Linked DNA regions of Cricetulus griseus. The protein of the gene in region 4 purifies or fractionates together with the protein of the main gene of each other region. This does not show direct contact. Links are inferred from orthologs where the notes say so. Each region holds a gene or a part of one and is shown on either strand. Other genes may lie near its edges. The genes, in order: Cdc37, Cul4a, Hax1, Chek1 and Cul1.

Evidence for each region.
Region 1: the proteins of Chek1 (region 4) and Cdc37 purify together in Homo sapiens (affinity purification with mass spectrometry; 3 studies listed by BioGRID and IntAct, with this or other methods). This does not show direct contact. The link is inferred for Cricetulus griseus from reciprocal best matches to the Homo sapiens genes CHEK1 and CDC37.
Region 2: the proteins of Chek1 (region 4) and Cul4a purify together in Homo sapiens (affinity purification with western blotting; 4 studies listed by BioGRID). This does not show direct contact. The link is inferred for Cricetulus griseus from reciprocal best matches to the Homo sapiens genes CHEK1 and CUL4A.
Region 3: the proteins of Chek1 (region 4) and Hax1 purify together in Homo sapiens (affinity purification with mass spectrometry; 3 studies listed by BioGRID and IntAct, with this or other methods). This does not show direct contact. The link is inferred for Cricetulus griseus from reciprocal best matches to the Homo sapiens genes CHEK1 and HAX1.
Region 5: the proteins of Chek1 (region 4) and Cul1 purify together in Homo sapiens (affinity purification with western blotting; 6 studies listed by BioGRID and IntAct, with this or other methods). This does not show direct contact. The link is inferred for Cricetulus griseus from reciprocal best matches to the Homo sapiens genes CHEK1 and CUL1.

Annotation. Positions count from the first base shown.
Region 1 is NC_048597.1:133,999,811-134,003,321, forward strand, and holds part of Cdc37 (hsp90 co-chaperone Cdc37), read right to left. Parts: intron 2,754-3,511; coding exon 2,475-2,753; intron 2,196-2,474; coding exon 1,940-2,195; intron 1,857-1,939; coding exon 1,741-1,856; intron 1,664-1,740; coding exon 1,541-1,663; intron 738-1,540; coding exon 555-737; intron 451-554; coding exon 379-450; intron 1-378. UniProt on the Homo sapiens protein: Co-chaperone that binds to numerous kinases and promotes their interaction with the Hsp90 complex, resulting in stabilization and promotion of their activity. Inhibits HSP90AA1 ATPase activity.
Region 2 is NW_023276807.1:67,672,675-67,676,915, reverse strand, and holds the start of Cul4a (cullin-4A), read left to right. Parts: upstream 1-1,430; 5' UTR 1,431-1,458; coding exon 1,459-1,606; intron 1,607-1,895; coding exon 1,896-2,011; intron 2,012-4,241. Other genes in the region: Pcid2 (PCI domain-containing protein 2), read right to left, coding at 490-525. UniProt on the Homo sapiens protein: Core component of multiple cullin-RING-based E3 ubiquitin-protein ligase complexes which mediate the ubiquitination of target proteins. As a scaffold protein may contribute to catalysis through positioning of the substrate and the ubiquitin-conjugating enzyme.
Region 3 is NW_023276806.1:64,555,072-64,559,110, reverse strand, and holds the start of Hax1 (HCLS1-associated protein X-1), read right to left. Parts: upstream 2,805-4,039; 5' UTR 2,665-2,804; coding exon 2,612-2,664; intron 2,066-2,611; coding exon 1,809-2,065; intron 1,657-1,808; coding exon 1,469-1,656; intron 1-1,468. UniProt on the Homo sapiens protein: Recruits the Arp2/3 complex to the cell cortex and regulates reorganization of the cortical actin cytoskeleton via its interaction with KCNC3 and the Arp2/3 complex. Slows down the rate of inactivation of KCNC3 channels. Promotes GNA13-mediated cell migration.
Region 4 is NC_048597.1:148,682,872-148,687,169, forward strand, and holds the start of Chek1 (serine/threonine-protein kinase Chk1), read right to left. Parts: upstream 2,803-4,298; 5' UTR 2,652-2,802; intron 2,441-2,651; exon of another isoform or gene 2,041-2,440; 5' UTR 2,024-2,040; coding exon 1,959-2,023; intron 348-1,958; exon of another isoform or gene 288-347; intron 198-287; coding exon 1-197. UniProt on the Homo sapiens protein: Serine/threonine-protein kinase which is required for checkpoint-mediated cell cycle arrest and activation of DNA repair in response to the presence of DNA damage or unreplicated DNA.
Region 5 is NW_023276806.1:222,445,040-222,448,550, forward strand, and holds part of Cul1 (cullin-1), read right to left. Parts: intron 2,876-3,511; coding exon 2,825-2,875; intron 2,348-2,824; coding exon 2,257-2,347; intron 1,407-2,256; coding exon 1,243-1,406; intron 1-1,242. UniProt on the Homo sapiens protein: Core component of multiple cullin-RING-based SCF (SKP1-CUL1-F-box protein) E3 ubiquitin-protein ligase complexes, which mediate the ubiquitination of proteins involved in cell cycle progression, signal transduction and transcription.

The DNA.
Region 1 (3,511 bases), about 15 Mb from region 4:
TCAAAGCTGTGGGCCACCACCGCCTGGCACACCTCTCCTTTCTTAGAGAAGCCCAAGAGGGACACTAGTTTTGTTTTGTTATTTTGTGCTGCTGGGATGGAACCAGAGTCCCACACATACCAGGCAAGGACTCAACCACTGAGCTACACCCCATCTTCTTATTGCTATTTTGAGACAGGGTTTCACTGAGCTGCTCTGGCTCATCTTGAACTCATCCTGTCTAAGCTTGGCCTTGAACTTACAACACACTGCTCTTAGCCTCTTGAGATGACAGGTTAGCACCACCAGGCCCACCCAGAGGCCATTCCTTCCCGTCTGTTGCAGAACCTTGGGGACCATGTCTAGACACAGGCACCAGGGCCACATATGGGAACTCACAGTGGGATCCATCTTGCTGATGGCATCTTGCAGCATTTGCACGTCCTTCACATCAAAGCACTTCTGCAGTTCCTGGGGTACAGAGGGGTAGGGTGAGGACCTGGGCTAGTGGGTGTGGGGAGGTTGACAACATTCACAGATCACCCTCCTCCCTCCTGGGCTCTGGGGAGTCACACCTCAGGCAGGGACTCATAGACCTCCACGGGGTCCAGGCCACCAGGGCCCAGCCTCTTCTTGCGCTCCTCCTCCTCGTACTCCTTCATGGCCTTCTCTATGCGCAGCTTGGCACGGCCCCGCACACGCTCCTTAAAGGCCTCCAGTTCGTATTTGAAGCCCTCCATGTACTGTTGGTCGGCGGTCTGCAGAAGACGGTGGGCGCTATTCACTGGGCAGTTGACACCCAGGTCTTTAGGTGGTAAGGTCCCTGTCTGCAGCTTTTGGAAGCCTTCTGGGGCTCCCCAAGGCTTTTCCTGAACTTCCCACAGGCACCTCAAGGCTTGGCCTTGCTCTCTGTACTCAGTGCCCCTTGCTACTGTCTTGTGGGCCCATCTACTAATGGCCAACTGCCAGGCCCAGCTAAACAGCACAGGCCTGGTACTACACCTTCAGGTGTCTTCCAGCAAGGCCTTACAGGCACCTCAGTTCTGGATTGTTCCTGCCTGCCCCACTCTCAGGATCCCCGGCCTTTCAGAGGATCATATACCAGGAGCTCCAGCTCCAGGGATCTAACAGCCTCTTCTAGCCTCTGGAGACACTTGCTTGCACACAGACTCAGGCACACACACACCAACAATAAATAAATATGTAAAGTAAATTAAAAAAAAATCTTAAATAGTGTCAGCAAGGTGGTTCAGTGAGTGAAGTGTTTGCCACGCAAGGCCAACAGCATGTTTGATCACTAGAGCCCACACAAAGGTGGAAGGAGAGAATCAATTCCAAAGTTGTCCCCTGACCATGAGTCCACATACACACAAACCATACAAACATATATAACATACATACATGCATGCACACAATTTTAAAGATTAAAAAGAAATAAATAAGGCCATATTTGGCCACTGTAATCTCCGCACCACTCTGCGCCCTCCCAATAAAAGATCTAACCACAGGCCCCTAGTCTGTGTGTACACTGTGAGCTTTCTGGTGGTACAGGAGTCCATACCTTGATCTTGGTGAAGAACTGCCTGAAGCAGGCACGGGGATCGACCTTCAGACTCTTGGCCAGCTCCAGAATGAACTGCATCACCATGGTCTGGTGAGCTACCTGCTCCATCAGTGCACATTTCTGCCAGGACAAAGGTGGGGTGTCACCGAGAGGCAGTGTCTGGGAGTCTTTCTGAAGCTGGGCCAGGCTATACTCACCTCCTCCACTTCCAGGTCAATGCACCAGATAACCAGGTAGTTGGCGGTCTCCTCGCACACCAGGTGGACATTGTCTGACAGGTACTTCTGGCTGTCATCCCAGCGGTGGAGCATGCCTGCAGGGAAGGGTGTTGCAGAGGCTGTGGGAAGCCCTTTCCTGGCCTTGACTCCCAACTGCAGGCCCCGTGCAGGCACTTACCGAAATGCTTGATCTGTTTCTCGTACTTTTCAACGAAGGTCTTGTGTTTCTGCTCTCTTGCCTCCTCTGAGTCTTCCTCTGCCTTCTCAGGCTTGATATTGACTATGCTCTGTGACAGGGCGAGAGGGCAAGTGGGCTGGGGCAAGGCAGGGTTGCGCCTGGGGTGCGGGGGCCTTGGCCGCCGCGCCCATCCTGTCCACATCGGAGGCGGAGGCGTCGCTAAGTGCATCAAGGTGGCAGAGGCGTGGCCGCGGGCCTTCGGGCAGATCAGAGGGTATGGGTGGGCTTCATTGGTCTCTACCGGCCAATCCCACGATCAACCTGTCCCCCCCATAACTCTGCCGGCCTCTCCTTGTCAGAATGAGGAGACAGGTATGGACCCAGGGCCTTCATAGTTCACCGTCAGGTCCAGCCTCCACCACCAAAGCATGCGCATCCCACATCTGACCCTGCTCTGCAGCGCTCTCACCCACCCGCACCCCTGCAGTGCTCTGCTCTGCTCTGCTCTGCAGTGCTCCCGCCCGCCTGCGCCCACCTTGCTGAAGCCGTCCTTGCTGAGGGTGTCCACGTTCCAGGGCATGCTCTTCTCCTTCTTGCGCATGTCCTCCAGCTTCTGCTCCCAGCTTCGCTCCTCCTTGCGCAGCTGCTGTGCCTCAGCTCGCAGCCGCTCAAGCTCCACCTGGCCACCGCCTTCAGCCACTTCCAGCTCCCTCAGCTTGCGTTGGCATTCGGCTACCTTTCGCTTGCATTCACGGCAGCCCCGGTCCAGTTCGTCCTTCTCCTTCTGAAACTGCTCCATGCGCTCCACTCGGGCCTGTGGGCAAGGACAGCCAGCAGCTGGTCACTTGGTCCCTTGGGAGCCCGGCATGGTGGCACTCCCCTTTAGTCTCAGCACTTGGGAGGCACAGGCAGGTGGATCTTTGAGTTTGAGGCCAACCTGGTCTACAAAGAGTTCCAGGGTAGCCTAGGCTACACAGAGAAACCCCATCTCAAAATAAATAACAACAACAAAAGAAACAAGCCAGGCAGTGGTGGCGCACGCCTTTAGTCCCAGCACTGGGAGGCAGAGGCAGGCGGATCTCTGTGAGTTTGAGACCAGCCTGGTCTACAAGAGTTAGTTCCAGGACAGCCTCTAAAGCCACAGAGAAACCCTGTCTCGAAAAACAAAAACAACAAAAAACAAACAAACAAACAAACAAAAGAACAACTTAGTTCCTTGATCCCTGCCCAGCCACAGCCTTGGGGTTTCAATCCCTGCAACGGACATGACCCCAAGAGATGTGTACACCAAAGTCTAAGTCCTGCCCTCCCAACTTCCACCCTGCCTACCATGGAGGACTAGACATACTCTGGTTGGACAAACCCTGGGTCCTTGCTACAGTCCACATAGCTACGAGCTACTTGTTGGTGCCCCAATGCCACATTTTTACAGTTTTTCGTCTTACTAGCAACTGCTTCTCTGTGTAGCTGAGAACGAACCTGGGCCCCTGGTCCTCTACCTCCCCAGGACAGGAGCAAGGTAGAGCAACAGCAACTGGCCATGTGAGGGGAGTAGCTCAGCAGCAGTGGCCT
Region 2 (4,241 bases), on a different chromosome or scaffold from region 4:
TTCATAAACATCCATGAGCAGCAATGTCATCCGTTAAAACGTCCATCAGACTTTCCCACCTGGCTGTCCCTTGCACCAGGTGTGCTGAATAGTGGGATTCATACCTCTCTCGTCCTAGGTTAGCGGAGAAAACGCAAACTCAACCCTCAACCCAGATGCAACGCTGCTTGCCTGTGCCATTCGCGGGCCTTGAGCAGAGGGACACCTCTCTTAAGACCCAGTGTGCTTCGGTGCAGACAGTGCTACACGAACAGCCGCTTTTACAAGTGGCCTCGATTCTGCTACCTCCACCTCGAATCCTCCTCCGTCCCAGATCCGGCGGGAAGCACTTGCAACTTTTGAGCAAAGCCTGCTGCCCGCCCCATGCAGCAAACGTTCTTCACCTCAAAGGCAGCCGCAGACCTCCCCCCTCCACCGGTCCCGGACCTATCTGACCCAGCCCCAGAACCCACCCTCGTGGCCACTAAACAAGGATACCGGGCAACCCACCTGCTGTAGGTACTGGTTAATGGTGATGTGCGCCATAGCAGCGGCCGCGGGCGTTAAGCACCTCACTTCCGGCGCAGGTCCGTCTCAGCTCCTTGTCCCTACACTGTATTTCCCGCACGTTTTTGATTCCGGAACCGGTGGCGCAAACTGAACGAAGCTGGCCCGAGCACTCCCCTCCTAGAGCTGTCAGTGCTCGGGGTGCAGTCACTGAGGTGTCTCAGCTCGGGCGGGGGCGTGAGCAAAGGACGGGGGACTGACGTGGAGGAGTTCCAACCGACTTGGGAACGTATCCCCGCGTCCCGATCACGTCCTGTGTCCTAGCGACTCCCCGTGTCTCTCATCCCTTCGATCCTCACTTTGCAGAGACGCTCCCGGCTCGCACACCCTCAAGTGCACAGAACAAAAGTCAACCCCACTTGGGAACACGTCCCCGTGCTCTCCTAGCCCTCGCTGGAGATGTCCCCGAGTCCTCCCACCCCCTCACTGGGGCATCCCAGAGCAACGGGTGTGGAGTATCCGGTTGTCACGGAGCATCCCTGAGCCCTAGGTGTGGGGCTGCCCCAGAGGCAGGGTGGTGGGGTGCTCCTGTTCGCCCACGTCTCCCGGGTGTCCCCAGCCCTCGTCGTGACGTCGAACACCAAGCTCCCGGAACGCTCGGTGCGGGGTGTCACGGCGCCCTCTCGCGAGCATTCGTCGTAGAACGTCCGCGGGTGCCGAACCCTCCAGGCGCGGCCGCGTACGCCGGAGCCCTCACTGGGCGGAGTCCGCGCGCCCGAGCCGGATCATTCCGGTGCGCGCCGCGGCGGTTGGGCCTCGGGCGCGCGGACCGGGCCGCGAGCAGCAGGAGGAGGAGCCGAGCGCTCACGGGCGGAGCCCGACAGGAGGAGGAGGAGCCGGGCGCGCACGGACCGGGCGCAGGGCAGGAGGAGGAGCCGGGCGGCGCGGGGCGGGGCGGCGTCCGGCCCAGCCATGGCGGACGAGGGCCCGCGGAAGGGCAGCGTCTCGGCTCTCATGGGCCGCACCAACGGCCTCACCAAGCCCGCGGCGTTGGCCGGTGGCCCTGCCAAGCCGGGGGGCGCGGGCGGCTCCAGGAAGCTGGTCATCAAGAACTTCCGAGGTGGGTGCGCTCCGGTGAGGAGCGAACGGGGCGTCCGTCAGGTCGCGCGCTCGGACAGGGCCTCCTGGGGCTGCCCAGCCGGCCCTGTCCCCGCGCCCCAGCCCGCCTTGTTCCCGCACTGTCCTGTTCCGGCGCTCCAGCCTGACTTGTCCCCGCACCTCATGCTCCGCCACGTCCCCGCGCCCCAGCTGGCCCTGACCCCGCACCTCCTGGCTGGCTCTGCTGGGCCCTGCCTCGGTGCCCCGGCCTGTCTTGTCCCCGCGCGGCCGTTGACCCTCTCTCCCCACAGACAGGCCGCGGCTGCCTGACAACTACACTCAGGACACGTGGCGGAAGCTTCACGAAGCGGTCAAGGCCATCCAGAGCAGCACATCCATCAGGTACAACCTGGAGGAGCTGTACCAGGTGAGCGGCGGCGAGGGCCTGCGAGCACCTGGCTGTTTTCCTCCTCTCACAGCCACGGTCGCCGCCGATGCTAGGGAGGCCCGCCTGCCGGGGGGGAGGGGGAATGGGGGGAGAGGCTGCGGTCCGAGCCTTCCCTAGAGGAAGCCTCGAAGCCCTCGGTCAGCAGGTGTTTCAGTATATGGTCGCCCTGGATGAGTGCTATGTTGAGGCTTACATCGGGCTGCTTAGGTGTAAGTTTTCCCATCCCCAGGAGAAAGGAGGTGTGGGGGCTGCGAGCCACAGGGCTCCAGTGATCTCCAGTGTTATCAGAACGTTAGATTGTTACACATAAAACTCAGTATGCTAGGAGGATCCTTGTGTCGTCGTCGTCGTCGTCGTCTCTCCCCCCCCCACACACACTGTGGTTTAATTGTTGCAAATAAGGTTTGCAGATTCTGGTAGTTTTAATTTAAAGATAGTGTCTACAGCAGGAAAAAAAAAAAAAGGCCAAAAGTACATCTTGTTTTTTCAGGCAGACTTTTCTGTCGTGGTTTTATACAGTAATGTTCACTAAATAGTCTGTTTTAGGTAATGATATAGCATATATATAATTAATTACACTAAAGTCATGAACTTACCGGTTTGTTTTATCCTGGTTACAAAATGAATTTATGTAAGTTATAGAAAGTACAAAAAGAAAAGTAAGCAGTAGTACCCAAGGGAAATTGTTACAGGTTGAGCACTCCTGATCCAAAACTTCCCCAATCCAAAACTTTTAGCACTCACATGAAAAAAGATCCACGGCTGACCTCGTCTGACTGGACTCAGACAGAACACAATGTATGCTAAAACTGTTGTATAAAATTACTTCAAGCTAGGGCCAGTGAGATGACTCAGTGGGTAAAGCTCTTGCCGAACAAGCTTGGCAACCAGTGGTCGAACCTCAGAACCCTCAGAAAGGTAGAAGAAAACTGACTGCAGAGAGGATGTCCTTTGGCCTCCAGTCAAGCCGTGGCACAAGCACCCACACATAACGCATCATGCACACACACAATGGTAAAAATAAAAAAATAAAAACAGACCTTCAAATTGTGTTCAGGGTATATGAGATATGAATTAATTTTGTGTTTAGACCTGAGTCTCATTCCCCCAAATAAATCATTATGCATATTCAAGTATCAAATCCAGGAGAAAAAAAAAATCTGTAATCCAAAACACTGCTGGTCCCAAGCATTTTGGGTGAGGGGCGACCAACCTGTAGTGATAGAGTGAGGTACATGTGTCCGTTCTTTGTCTTAAGTTTGTGAGTTGATTGTGTATTGAGGGTGAAGGTTTTTTTAAGGTTTTTATTTTGTTTAGACAGGGTCTCACTGTATAGCCCTGGCTGGTCTGGAATTCACTATGTAGATCAGGTGGCCTTGAACTCTCAGAGATCCACCTGCCTTTGCTCCTGAGCTTTGGGATTAGGGCTTCACCTGCCTGACAATGTACTTTTATTATTTTAAGTATGTGGGTATGAAGTTTGGGGGCAGGCCTGGAGGCCAGAAGTATTAGATACCTCTAGAGCCTGGGTGTAAGTGGTTGTGAGCCTCTTGAAATAGGTACTGGGAACCAATCCCAGGTCCTCATGTACTCTAAACCACTGAGCCATCTCTCCAGACCTCTACCCCACTCACTTTGTCTTTGAGTGAGAGTCTTGCTACACAGTGCTGGCTGACTTAGTTACTTGCTATGTATTCCAGCCTATGTATAACTTACAGCAGTCCTCCTGCCTCAGCTTTCCACATGGTTGAATGTGCCACCATGCCCCGATAATTTTTTAATCAGCTTTTTTGAAGTGTAATTTACATATAACTTGTGCTCCAGTAGGTTTTTTTTTTGGGGGGGGAGCGGGGTAAGGGGAATTGACTGGCTTTATTTTTTAAGAGTTTCACTGTGTAGCCCAGGCTGCCCAAACTCAAGGTAATCTTCCTGTGGGGTTACAGGCTTACACTAACATGCTTGTTCCAGTAAATGTTAATGGCCTAATATGCAGTTGTTTTGCCACCCCCGCCCCTGAAAATGTAGACTTTTTCCATCCCTGACAAAGAACTACAGCTCCTTGCAGCCATCCCTTCCCCATCTCCTCCCTTGGCAGCCAGTACTCTGCTCTGGGTTACTCTGCCATTTCTATCTAAAAGGAATCTTGCATTTGCCATCTCTTGTTATCTGGCTTTTATTTGGAATAGTGCTTTGCAGTTTACACATGGTG
Region 3 (4,039 bases), on a different chromosome or scaffold from region 4:
TTCCTGCATCTTCAAGACTGTTTTTTTTTTTCAAGACAGGGTTTCTTATCCTAGAACTCATTCTATAGACTAGGCTGGCCTCAAACTGACAGAAACTTGCCTGCCTCTACTTCCCTAGTGCTAGGATCAAAGGTGTGCACCACCTTGCCCTGCTCAAGATGCCCCCCCCCCACCTTGGTGTGTGTGTGTGTGTGTGTGTGTGTGTGTGTGTTCGTTCCAGGCAGGGTTTTTTTGTCTAGACAGGTTGGCCTTGAACTCAAGGAAATAAGTTTGCTTCTGCCTCAGGAGTGCTGGGATTAAAAGTGGGCAACACCATGCCCAGCCTCAAGACTACCCCTACCTTGAGACAAGGTTTCTCTGTGTAGCTTTGTAGACCAGGCTGGCCTGGGCTCACAGAGATTCGCCTGCCTCGGCCTCCCAAGTGCTGGGATTAAAGGCGTGTGCCACCACAGCCCAGCTCTCAAGACCCTTTCTTAATCAAGAATTGTAACTAGCAATTAAAAAAAGCAGAATATTTACATTTCCCTTTTGTATTCTATGCTCCTGTATTGCAAATGGAAAACAGAAACAAAGGGGCTAGAAAGACGGCCCATAGATTAAGAACACTTGCTTTTTCTGGGGATATCAAGCAGCTCAGAGCTCCACAGGATTCAACAATACCTCAACACTGCAGGCACTCATATGGTACACAAAAAACTCAGACACACATACGCAAAATAAATAATTTTTTGTTTTGTTTTGTTTTTTGAGACAGGGTTTCTCTGTGTAGCTTTGGAGCCTATCCTGGAACTTGCTCTATAGACCAGGCTGGCCTCGAACTCACAGAGATCTGCCTACCTCTGCCTCCCGAGTGCTGGGAATAAAGACATGCACCACCAACGCCCGGCTAAAATAAATAAATCTTAAGAACAACAAACAGCAACAAAAAACCAAACAAAGAAACTCAGGGCCAAGGGAGGCCAGCATGGTCTACATAGCAAGTTCCAGGACAGCTAAGGCCACAGAGAGATCTTGTCTCAAAATACATATATAAATAAAATAAAAAGAGAGGGCAGGGGGCACTATTGCAGAAAACCATAGTGTATAGATCCCAGCATGGTGGTTCTCAATCATTATAATTGGAGTTCCCGGGTATTCGATGCCCTCTCCTGACCTCTATGAGTACCAGGCACATGTGGAGCAAAAACATGCTCCACATGCACTGAAAAAAACAGTCCTACATAAGAAAAAATAAATAAACCTTAGGCTAGGTGTGCTGGCACATTTTAATCCTGATGCAGAGACAGGCAGATCTCTAAACCTGAGGCCAGTCTGGTCTACACAGTGAATCCCAAGTCTCAAAACAAAAAGCCCAACAAAGAAGAAAATCCAGACAAATGCACTAATTAGAGGGGCTAGAATTCTAACTCAACTCTAAGAAATTCCAGTAAGAGTTGTAGTTACTGCACTTCAGGTGCAGAGTACTCACCCTATGAAAAGGTCCCTGAGACCCCCAATCTGGAGCTGGTTTGGGGGATTCAGGTCTTGGATGACTCTCCATGACCCCCTCAAAGATCCTGGGTTGGTGACTGTCTGGGTACTTAAGCATTGAGTCCCGAAGCGTCTGCCCTTCCCGCGGTCTCTCACCAGGTGTTTCTGACCCATGACCTGGAAGTTCTGTAAAAAAGTTGGCTGGTGATACTAGGATAGGAAAGGGCTTAAAACACACAAAATCTTTTTGAAATCAGCTTTAGCATATCCCCAACTACTCTGCAAGGTCCGTATTTCGCTCCCTAACCCAATATTCTCCCTCAGGAGAATCTACACACCAGGAGAGTGGGAAGGCAAGGTCCAGGCCCCCATCTCACTGAAGATGCTATTGAAATCTCGTACTAGATCATCAAAGCCAAAGTTGTCGTGGAATCGCATGCCTTCTTCTGGGCTGAAGTTGAAACCGAATTCCTCCGGAGGCTGAGAACCATCAAACCTATAGCTCCCTCGACCCCACGTGCCTCTGTCTTCTTCCTCTTCGTCATCATCATCGTCATCATCTCGAGTCATCCCTCCGAAGAAGGGATCTCTGTGGCTGAGAGCAGAGGCAGATAAGCCACGAAGATTTCAGCACTGTCTAAGCAATAAAACCAACCCAAGGCCAGTAAAATGGGGACAAAAGGTTGGGGTCTAGGTAGCTGAAGAAAACACTGGAGAGCTCCCTTCCAAGTCAAAACAAAGCTCGTGGATCTATTAGGGTTTTGTATTGTCTCTAATTAGAGCCCATGACAACCCCCGCCCCCCACACCTCGCAAACGCCTCCCGTGGCTTGTCTTCAGTGTCTGACTGCGCACTCCTAATTGCCCCTTAAGGTCCCTCTCACTTGCTCATTCCCCAGGCCCCCATTGTCTTCTCCGCCCAGCTCCCTGTTGCATCACCCCACTCTGGAGAAAGGCACTGTTTCTCTCCTCTTCACACCGCTTTGGTTACTGTGGCGTGGTGAGTACTCAAGGTTGAGATTTCTATCCTCTCAGCAGGAGTTGAAGGGAGCGGGGAAGGAAGCTTTCCAAAAATACGGTGAAGGGGTCAAGCGTCCCCAAAGAACACCGCTTCCTCAGGTCCAGCCCAGAACTACGCTCACCTCCGAGGTCCACGAAAGCCGAAAAAGCCCCGGAAAAGGTCAAAGAAGCTCATTCCTGTAGGTGCCCTAGAAACTTTAAACTTCGGCAGGACATGAGAACCACTCGACTGCCAGCTTGCGCTACCCTGTCAGATACAGCCAGGGTTCAGCATTCGCTGCCGGAAAGCAAGTCTGCAACACGGCATTGTCGTAAAAAGGCCGAAACCCGGAGAAGGAAGAGGCGGGGCTGACGGCGCTCCTCCGACGCGAAGCTTCTTATACGCTACCTTTCAGTTTTGAGTGAGGGTGGGCTTACGGATCCCCGCTGTCCAAGATCACACCCCTTCTAGTGATTCTCTTTCCCGCCCATCTGCCAGTCCCCAAGGGGTGTTTCCGTTACTCTCTGGATGGTTCCAAGTTAGCCGCCAAAGGGAGCGGCCTGTCCCGAGCCCCGCCTGGACCCCGGCTCAGAAAACACCCCCACTTTGTTTGTTTCTAGACTGATGTGACGTCCAACACTACAGGTTGGGAAATGTTTTACTAAGCTCCTTCCAGGGCAATTTCCCTACTGCTGGATAAAGACATGAGGATGCTAGGAATCTCTTCAGCTACTAAGGAGTTAGTTCGGGCCATAAAAATTTATTTTAAACGTGTTTATTCGACACACGGTTTCTCTGCTGTCCTGGAACTCTATAGACTAGGCCTGCCTCGAACTCAAGAGATCCACCTGACTCTGCCTCCCAAATGCTGGGATTATAGGCCGTTGCTACCATGCCTAGCTACTCTTTTAAACTTTTAAAAAAACAGACTACAACCAACAAGGTAAGATTTATACTAGGCAGGGAAGAGTAACTACTGAAGCATCTTGGAAAAGAACAAAGACTCTATAGTTAGAATCAGTGGTGCAGGCTCAAGAGGCAGAGACCGGTGGATCTCAGTATGAAGCCAACCTGGTCTACACAACGAGTTCAATGCCAGCCTGAGCTACATGAGACCTGGACACACCCTCACTTCCCAAGCCATACTTGCAGTTTGGGAAGTCTGAAGCCGAACGAATCTCTTGAATCCTTGGCAATACGGTAAGTCTCAGGCTCTTCTAAAGAAAATAAAACTCCCCTTCCCATGTAATTGAGGTTCAAAACTTTTTACCACAATGCCCCACCACAGGTCTTGCTCTACATCATCCAACCCTTTCCCAGAAATTGGGCATTTCTAAGGCCACATAAAATAGGCAAAGCAGGGTATGGTGTTTGTTGAGAATCTTTAACCTCATCACCTAATAGGCAGAGGCAGGCAGACCTCTGAATTTGAGATCAGCTTGGTCTCCATACCAAGTTACAGGCCAGCCAGGGTCACACAATAAGACTGTCTCAAAAACAAAACTCAAGGAACAAAAACTACTGCAGTCTACTTCTATAAAGGGAAAGCCGCTTGAGCTTTAGTTCTGCC
Region 4 (4,298 bases):
TGCAGTACTCCAGAAATAGATACTGGATATTGCCTTCCCTCCTGTGACCATAGAATTTCACTACATTCTCATGATTTAACATCTTATTGATACAGATCTCTTTCTTAATATTTTCTGGACAGTCTATGGCCCGCTTCATGTCTACAATTTTCACTGCAACAGCCTCTTCAGTTATTCTATTCACAGCAAGTTGAACTCTTTAAAGAGAAAGAGAGAGAGTGTATGTTAAAAATTTCCACATCTGAATTCCATTTCTCCTAAAACTTCAAAAGAATAGTGATACATGCCTGTAATTCCAGCATTCTGGAGACAAAGGCAAAAGGGTCCAAGTTCAAGGCCAGACTGCGCTACAAAGAAAGAAACTCTCTAAAACAAACCAAATAAAACAAACAAGCAAACGCAGCCCCACCTCCCACCCACAACTAGCAGGGTGTAGTGGCACATGTCTTTAATCCCAGTACTGGAGAAGCAGAGACAGGCAGAGCTCTTGAAATTTGAGGCAGGCAGCTACACAATGAGACAACTCTCTGCAAACAAAACAGGGAAGGGACAGAAGTGGGGAGCATCTGGCTGGAGAGATGACTCAGTAGTTAAGTGCACTTGCTTCTGACCTGGGTACAGTTCCCAGCACCTACACTGTAGTAGCTCATAACCATCTTTAATCCCAGGTGTGGGGGATCCCACCTTCTGCTGGCCTTGGTCAGTAGTGTACACATGTAGTACACTAATGTGTAGATAAACACTCATACATATAGAAATGCATAAATCTTTTTTTAAAGATTTATTTATTATGTATACAGTGTTCTGCCTGCATGTATGCCTGCAGCTGGAGGAGGGTACCAGATCTCATTACAGATGGTTGTGAGCCACCATATGGTTGCTGGGAATTGAACTCAGGACCTTTGGAAAAACAGGCAGAGCTCTTAACTGCTGAGCCATCTCTCTCCAGCCCTCTAAAAATGCATAAACCTTAAAAAGAAAAAACTTCAAAAGATAAAATATAATACTTCACAAAATATTTTTCCTTCACTATTTTTTTCAAGGAAAATGACATGGTTTCTGCTATGTTCTCAAAAGAAATGAAAGGAAATGTGAAGTATTACAGTTAAAGCTCCAAGAAAGTCATTACCTAGTGCATGCAGGTAGATACTATCAGGTAGGTACTATCAACTCTATCTTCAGACAAGGAAACACAGGCACATAAAGCTTGCTCAAGGACACAAAACACAAACAGGATCTGCAAAGTCTGAGGATCTGCTAAGGTAGGATGCCTCCAGGGACTTTTCATTATCTCATTTAAATTCTAAGACACACGGTTTTATAGGGAAAAAACTAATAGTCTTGTAATTCTTAGGAAAAGAAAATTTTTTAAAAAGCTGGGTTGACTTAAAGCAGGCTTGTAATACCTGTGTAAGCAACAGTGTACCACAAGTTCAAGGCCAACCTGACAATTTAATAAAATGTTCAACTGAACAAACACAAATTAAAGAAATGGGGGGGTGTTGTTGTTTGTTTGTTGTTTTTAAGGCCTAGGGCTGTAGCTCAGTGGTAGAGCATTCACCCAGCATGTGTGACACCCTAGGTTCAATTCCCCAGTATCACAAAATAGGCCAAGTGGGTGAGTATATGTAACTTCACTTGCTAAGAGCCTTGATTTACAAATGCAAATATCCATTCTCTTTGCCACTTGTAATAAAGGATTTTTTTTTATGTCTACTCAAAACTGCAGATGGAAAACTAAAGCAAGCACACTGGCAAGATAAAATTTAAACTAGGGAAGCCATAAAGATAATGGCTAAGCAGGTAAAGCCACTTGCTGATAATCCGAGTTCAATTCTCTGAACTCTCATGGGAACCAACTCCTACAAGTTGTCCTCTGACCTCCACGTGCTCACCGTGACATAACAAACACACACTAATAAATGTAATAAAAAATTTAAATGAGGGCTCAAACTTACTCTCCATAGGCACCTTCTCCCAAAGTTTGCACCAAGTCCCAGTCTTCCACAAATGGTACTGCCATGACTCCAAACACAGCGGCTGTAAAATGCAGGATCCCAGGAAATACGGGGGATGAGTGTGAATTCTCATCACTTGAAATGCCACTGAGCCATGCCTCTTGCCTTGATTCCACACAACTTTGGTTTGCCCTTACATCCCATCCATATTTGCCCAAGTCACAATACTAAATTTAGGCATGTTTGCCCTGTATATCACAACTCCTGTTCAGCCACGTTTGTCCACCGCCTTTATGCACAACTGAACACTAGCTGGGATCGGAGGCTGGGAGACAAAGGCTTCCCGGAGAATGGCCGGGGGGAGGAGTAGCGGGCAGAGAGCGCAGGGGTGGGGGACAGGGGACGTAGGTGTGAGTAACTACCGTAATTACTGACAGCGCAGCCCCTCCTCCCATCCGCTCCCTTTCAATTTCCACCCAACGGCACGTGTCCCCAAGACGCGGAGGGAAGGGGGCGGGGCCGAACTGTGGAGCGAGCGGAAGGCAGGGACCCCAAGAGCCGGAAAGGTGTGCGAACTCTGAAGGCTCACAGACAGCTCTGTTCCCTTTACGCTGAAGAGCCGCGGGCCACCAGCTCCAGCCCGCACGCCGGGAGGCCCTCCCATCTCTCCGGTCGTCACGACCACTCCCTCACCGTGCCCGTCCGCACTAATCAAGACCTCCGAGTCCTTCGCAGGAGTCCTTTCCCACCGTTCGGGACGCTCTTCTCGCCAAGCAGTCCTTTGCCAGCTGCCACAGGACTCCAAATGCAGAACTTTTCCCGCCAAAACTTGCTTGCGTCATGCTGTCGCAAACGCGCGCACCTTTGCCGTAAAGCGGGCCGGCGCGCGTTATTCTATCGTGGGCTCTGCTGAAGAGCAGCTTCAGCAGGCCTAGCCGGAAAGGGCTCCTCCTCCTAGCCCTGGCCTCGGCCGGCTGGAGGTCTCATGCGGCCGTGGTCAGAGACCCGCAGACGAGATTTGGTGCTGACGACAGCCTTGGTGAGAATTGTTCTCAGAGTCCCAGACTGAAGTGGTATCCGGTGTGTGCTCCGCTGGACGCCCTACGTTGTTCCAGAGAGGCGCCGGAGCCTCCAGCCAGACCGAGCGTCACTTGGGCGCAGGTCAAGCACCGGGTTCCTTGCAGCAAGGGCTGCACCGTTAACAATGTAAACCGACCAGCTCGTGACCTCGGAGCCCCTGCTAGGAAGGGTTTGCGAAGCTAAACTGAGCGCCACAAAGTGCTCTGTAAACGCTACTTAGTATTCGAGCTTAGAAGCTAGCAACTGTTCTTGGAATTGATCCTTAAAAAAAAAAAAAAATGAAGGAAAGCCAGGTGTGGTGGTGTGTGCCTGTAATCGTATTAGTATGCAAGAAAATAGCGTGTTTGCCGGGCGGTGATGGCGCAGGCCGTTAATGTCAGCACTCGGGAGGCAGAGGCCGGATCTCCGTGAATTCGAGGACAGCCAGGGCTACACAGAGAAACCCTGACTCGAAAAAAAAAAAAAAAGAAAGAAAGAAAATAGCGAGTTCTCAAGGCCAGCCCCGGTTATGCAAAGAAACAAAAAATAGTTTTTAAAAGGACCACACAGCCTCGGGTACGAGGGGGCAGGACGAAGACAGTATTTGGAGTTTACAATCCAGTCAGGATCACCAATTTTGCCTGCACAGGCTCCAAAACTAATTCAGTCTCACCCGTTTGTAGGAAGACCATTTGCCTAGCTTAGTTTTACTAGCTTTCTAGTTCTTAAAAGAGCATGAGGGCCCACACCTCTAAATGCCACACTCCAGAGCTGAGGCACAGCCAGATGCTCCTTCAAACAGCAAGGTAGACATGGTGGTGATTTGCCTGCAGCCAAGGCCTGCTTCAGGTTCATCATCCTGAGACAAAAAGTATGACTCTGTCTGTCTTTAAAAGGAGGTGGGTAGAGTAGCACAATAAATATTTGAGTAACTGGGCTAGGCATGTGGCATAATGGTAGAGTACTTGCCAAGCATGCAGAAGGCCCAGTGAGAAATGTCAATTCTCAAGGAAAAGACTTGGGTACAAACTGAAACTTTGTGCTGGCTTTGCCACGAGCTACATCTCTCTCTCTACAAAAATCTGTCAAAAGTGAAGGGTGAAACACCTGCAAATATTTATATATGAAAAGCATAAACCATGACATTAGTTATAGGAATGATGTAATGAAAACAAGTTTATAGATCATTTCCCATTCCTTTGTAATTTCCTGTCTGTGTTTTGAAATAAAAGAATATAAAGAAGACCCAGGAAGTTCCTATATTCATGAATGGAATGTCAT
Region 5 (3,511 bases), on a different chromosome or scaffold from region 4:
TGGAAACAGGTCTTTGCAGTAAGAGACCTGTTTACAAAAGCTACTCTGTCACACTAAAAAATTAAATAATGGGCAATACCACAATTCAAAACAGGTTATATTTCAAATACTCTTAAGGAGCAAGGAGCTGACCAGGTTTCAGTCACATACTAGATACAAAGAACTGCTACCATTCCACATAAACAACTAACTAGTCCCACTTTAGTTGGGTTTTGAGATATCAGAAATGTGTAATTGGGTTTCAATTTCAGCTTAGAAGGCCCACTTACATGTGCAATGTAAGTGTACCGTATGAAAATGCACTTTGAACACCACAAGCTGGGCATGACTTTTTCTGTAAGTCAGAAGCAGGGTGGTTGGTCTTATGTATTCTTTCTTTGAACCACGGAAGCAATGACTGTACAGTCCATTTCCTGCCCAAGAGAGGGCAAAGCAGGTACTAGACTTGGTCTGAACCAGACTCTTGAAAATCTAGTACATTCAGGAGAGAAGTCACTCTACAGTTGATTGGCAAAATCCTGACACATATTTCTTGTTTATTTACACATTGCCGACTGTTGTGTTATAACAGCAAAGTTGAACAGTGGTGGAAGAGATCATACATAGCACGCAAAGCCTTAAGATATTTACTGCCTGGCAGTATATAACAGAAAGCTTAAAGACTCCTGACATTCCTCAGCCCCTTCATCCAGAATACCTGAATTTTCAAGAAAGAGCAAAGAAAATTCCTATTAGAAGTTCATGGAAGCATCATGTAGTAAAATAATGCTTATAGAATACGATACATAGCTCTTCTCCCAAGTCAGAATTTAGATCCTCCTTCCTAATGTAATCTTAAAGACTAAGCTATAAACTCCTAGGAAATATTTAAGAAAAAAGTAGCAAAAACAAACAAATGAAATAGCTAACAAATCTTGGAATATCTGCTCAATACTATCTCACTGACAAAACTGTGGGGCCCACTAGTCGTCACACTCAAGGGGAGATGGTTCAAAACATGAAGAAGGCATGCAGTTATCAAGGCACCTCCTTAGCTATGCAAAAGGAATGAACACTCACTCATGATTATTATCAATTTGTGAAAGTCCCTTACAGAGTGACAGGAGCTGGATCCATGGGACATAGTGTGACATCAGTGCCAAGCCTGACTTGTGAGGAACACTGCATTGCCAAGAACTCACTAGAGAAGCAATGACTATTTAACTTACATCTACTTTACATACTATGTATGTTTAAGCTTACCTTTTTCATATATTCAGTAACTGGGTTCTGCTGCAAGAATTCAGTACTTTCTCTGGTATAAAATCTCTCTGTGTCAGCCAAAAATTGAGATTCAAAGGATTCTTTATACACTGTTAACGTAGGGCCCTTTGCAAATGCGTCATCTTCATTCAGCCCCAATTCCACTAGAAAGAAATATGAACTATATTTACCCTACTTTTTGTAATATTTCACAGATAATACTTTGGTGTAACATTCAGTTTAAGTTACACTTGAAAGATCAATGTATAATGGAGGGTTTTAAGGTTAACTGTTATTCACTAGTATTGAAATATTCTTATTTTAATAAAAGAGAAATAAAACAATAAACTCCAAGATATATAGGAGTAGATCACCTCTACCTGGGCCAGGGATACTTCACAATTATCACAAGTTCAGTCAGAGAAAGTCTACATTTCCAAAAGTGATCTAAATGTTGTACTGTAAATTTTCACAGAAACACAAACCTACCTGAGCTTGAACAACACATCAGTTAATCAGGGTCTCAATCTTAATTTTTTTTTTTAGATTTTATTTATTTATTATGTATATAACATTCTGTTTCCATGTATATCTGCACACTAGAAGAAGGCACCAGATCTCACAATGGATGGTTGTGAGCCACCATATAGTTGCTGGGAATTGAACTCAGGACCTCTGGAAGAGCAGTCAGTGCTCTTAACCTCTGAGCCATCTCTCCAGCCCCTCAATCTTAATTTTTTAAGCTGATAGGTTTCTGGTTATCATTTAAGTCAAAAACAGTCACATTATATATAAATATTTCCTCATGAAAGCAGCAAAGGAAATAGTTCATTTTTTTTCCAATCAAAATTTCCTTAAAGTACAAAGATTAAATAACTTATGATTTATAAAAGTACTGCTTAAAAGTACCTTAAAAATGGAATAATATTTGTGATATTTAAATGTTTTTAAATGAATGCCAGAATTATCATGATTGCCATGTGATATGAAAACCAAATAAAGACAATTATTTACCATAAGATTGTACAACTCCACTAATCAGTCTTGTGTTGATGGTTTCGCCATTTCTTTCCTTTTCAATCAGTTTTAAAACAGCATTTGTTACCTTTAAGAATACAGAAAAAATATTAGGTAGAAATGTTACAGGTCATATCCTTTAAACATTTAAAGCCATGTTTTAGGGGTATGGGTAAGTACATATATGTACATGTGTGTGGAGGTAGACCAGTGGACAATCTCAAGTATGGCTCCCCGGGAATCATCACCTTGTCTTTTTGAGATGGAGTTTCTCACTGCCATGGAGCTCATTCAGAAGGCTAGGGTGGCACTGGCAGGGAGCCCCAGGGATCTGCTTGACTCTACTCTCCAGTGCCAGGATCACTAGTGGGCATCAACACACCTGCTTTCTTCCATGGGTGCTGGGAATCTACCCCAGGCCCTCATGCTTACATGGCAAGCACTTTACCAACAAAGCCAGGTCCCCAGACCAACAAATACTCTTGAGATAGTTCAAAGGCTTGGGAAGACAACATAGAAATGGGAAATTTTTTTAAAAGGAAAAAAACACATCCATAATAGATACCTGTTTATTCAATGGCCTGAATAAACAATCTCTCCATGTCACCAATGCAAGCTGGATGGAAAAGGGGGAAAGATGCATTAAATAACTGTATTTCACTATGGTTCTCCAAAACCAGTCAGACAATAATTTGAATTCTTAGTTTTACCAAAATTCCTAGATTACAACTCAGTATAAAAAAAACAAAAAAACAAAAAACTTGTATTACAATGAAATCAGCAACCTCTCAAGTGAGTCACTTTGTACAGATGTTTACGAGCTCACATTTTGACAGTGAAGTTCAAAAAGAACATTCTGCTTTAAGGTGAGCACTTCTATCAGCTTAAAAGCCATTAGTAGATTCAACCTATCAATGTATTCCCTGAATCCAACAATTTTAGACCAGATACACCTAATAAAGGTAATTCCAGTCACTACCCAAGTTTCCTAACACATCAAGATAAAAAGAATATAAAAATCTTCTAACTTTGTATCTGGATTATGTATTTTAAGTGCAGTTTCTTGTACATAACTTATTAAAATCTTCTATTGTACTTTTGTCTTCACGTGACTATGTGTGAGACATATATTGTTGTGTGAGCATGTCACATGCTCACATTGTGCCTGAGGATGTACATACATGGATGGAGTCATCTGTCTCCACAGCCCCGATATATGCATTTTAACGTGAATGTATAAACACCACGGCCC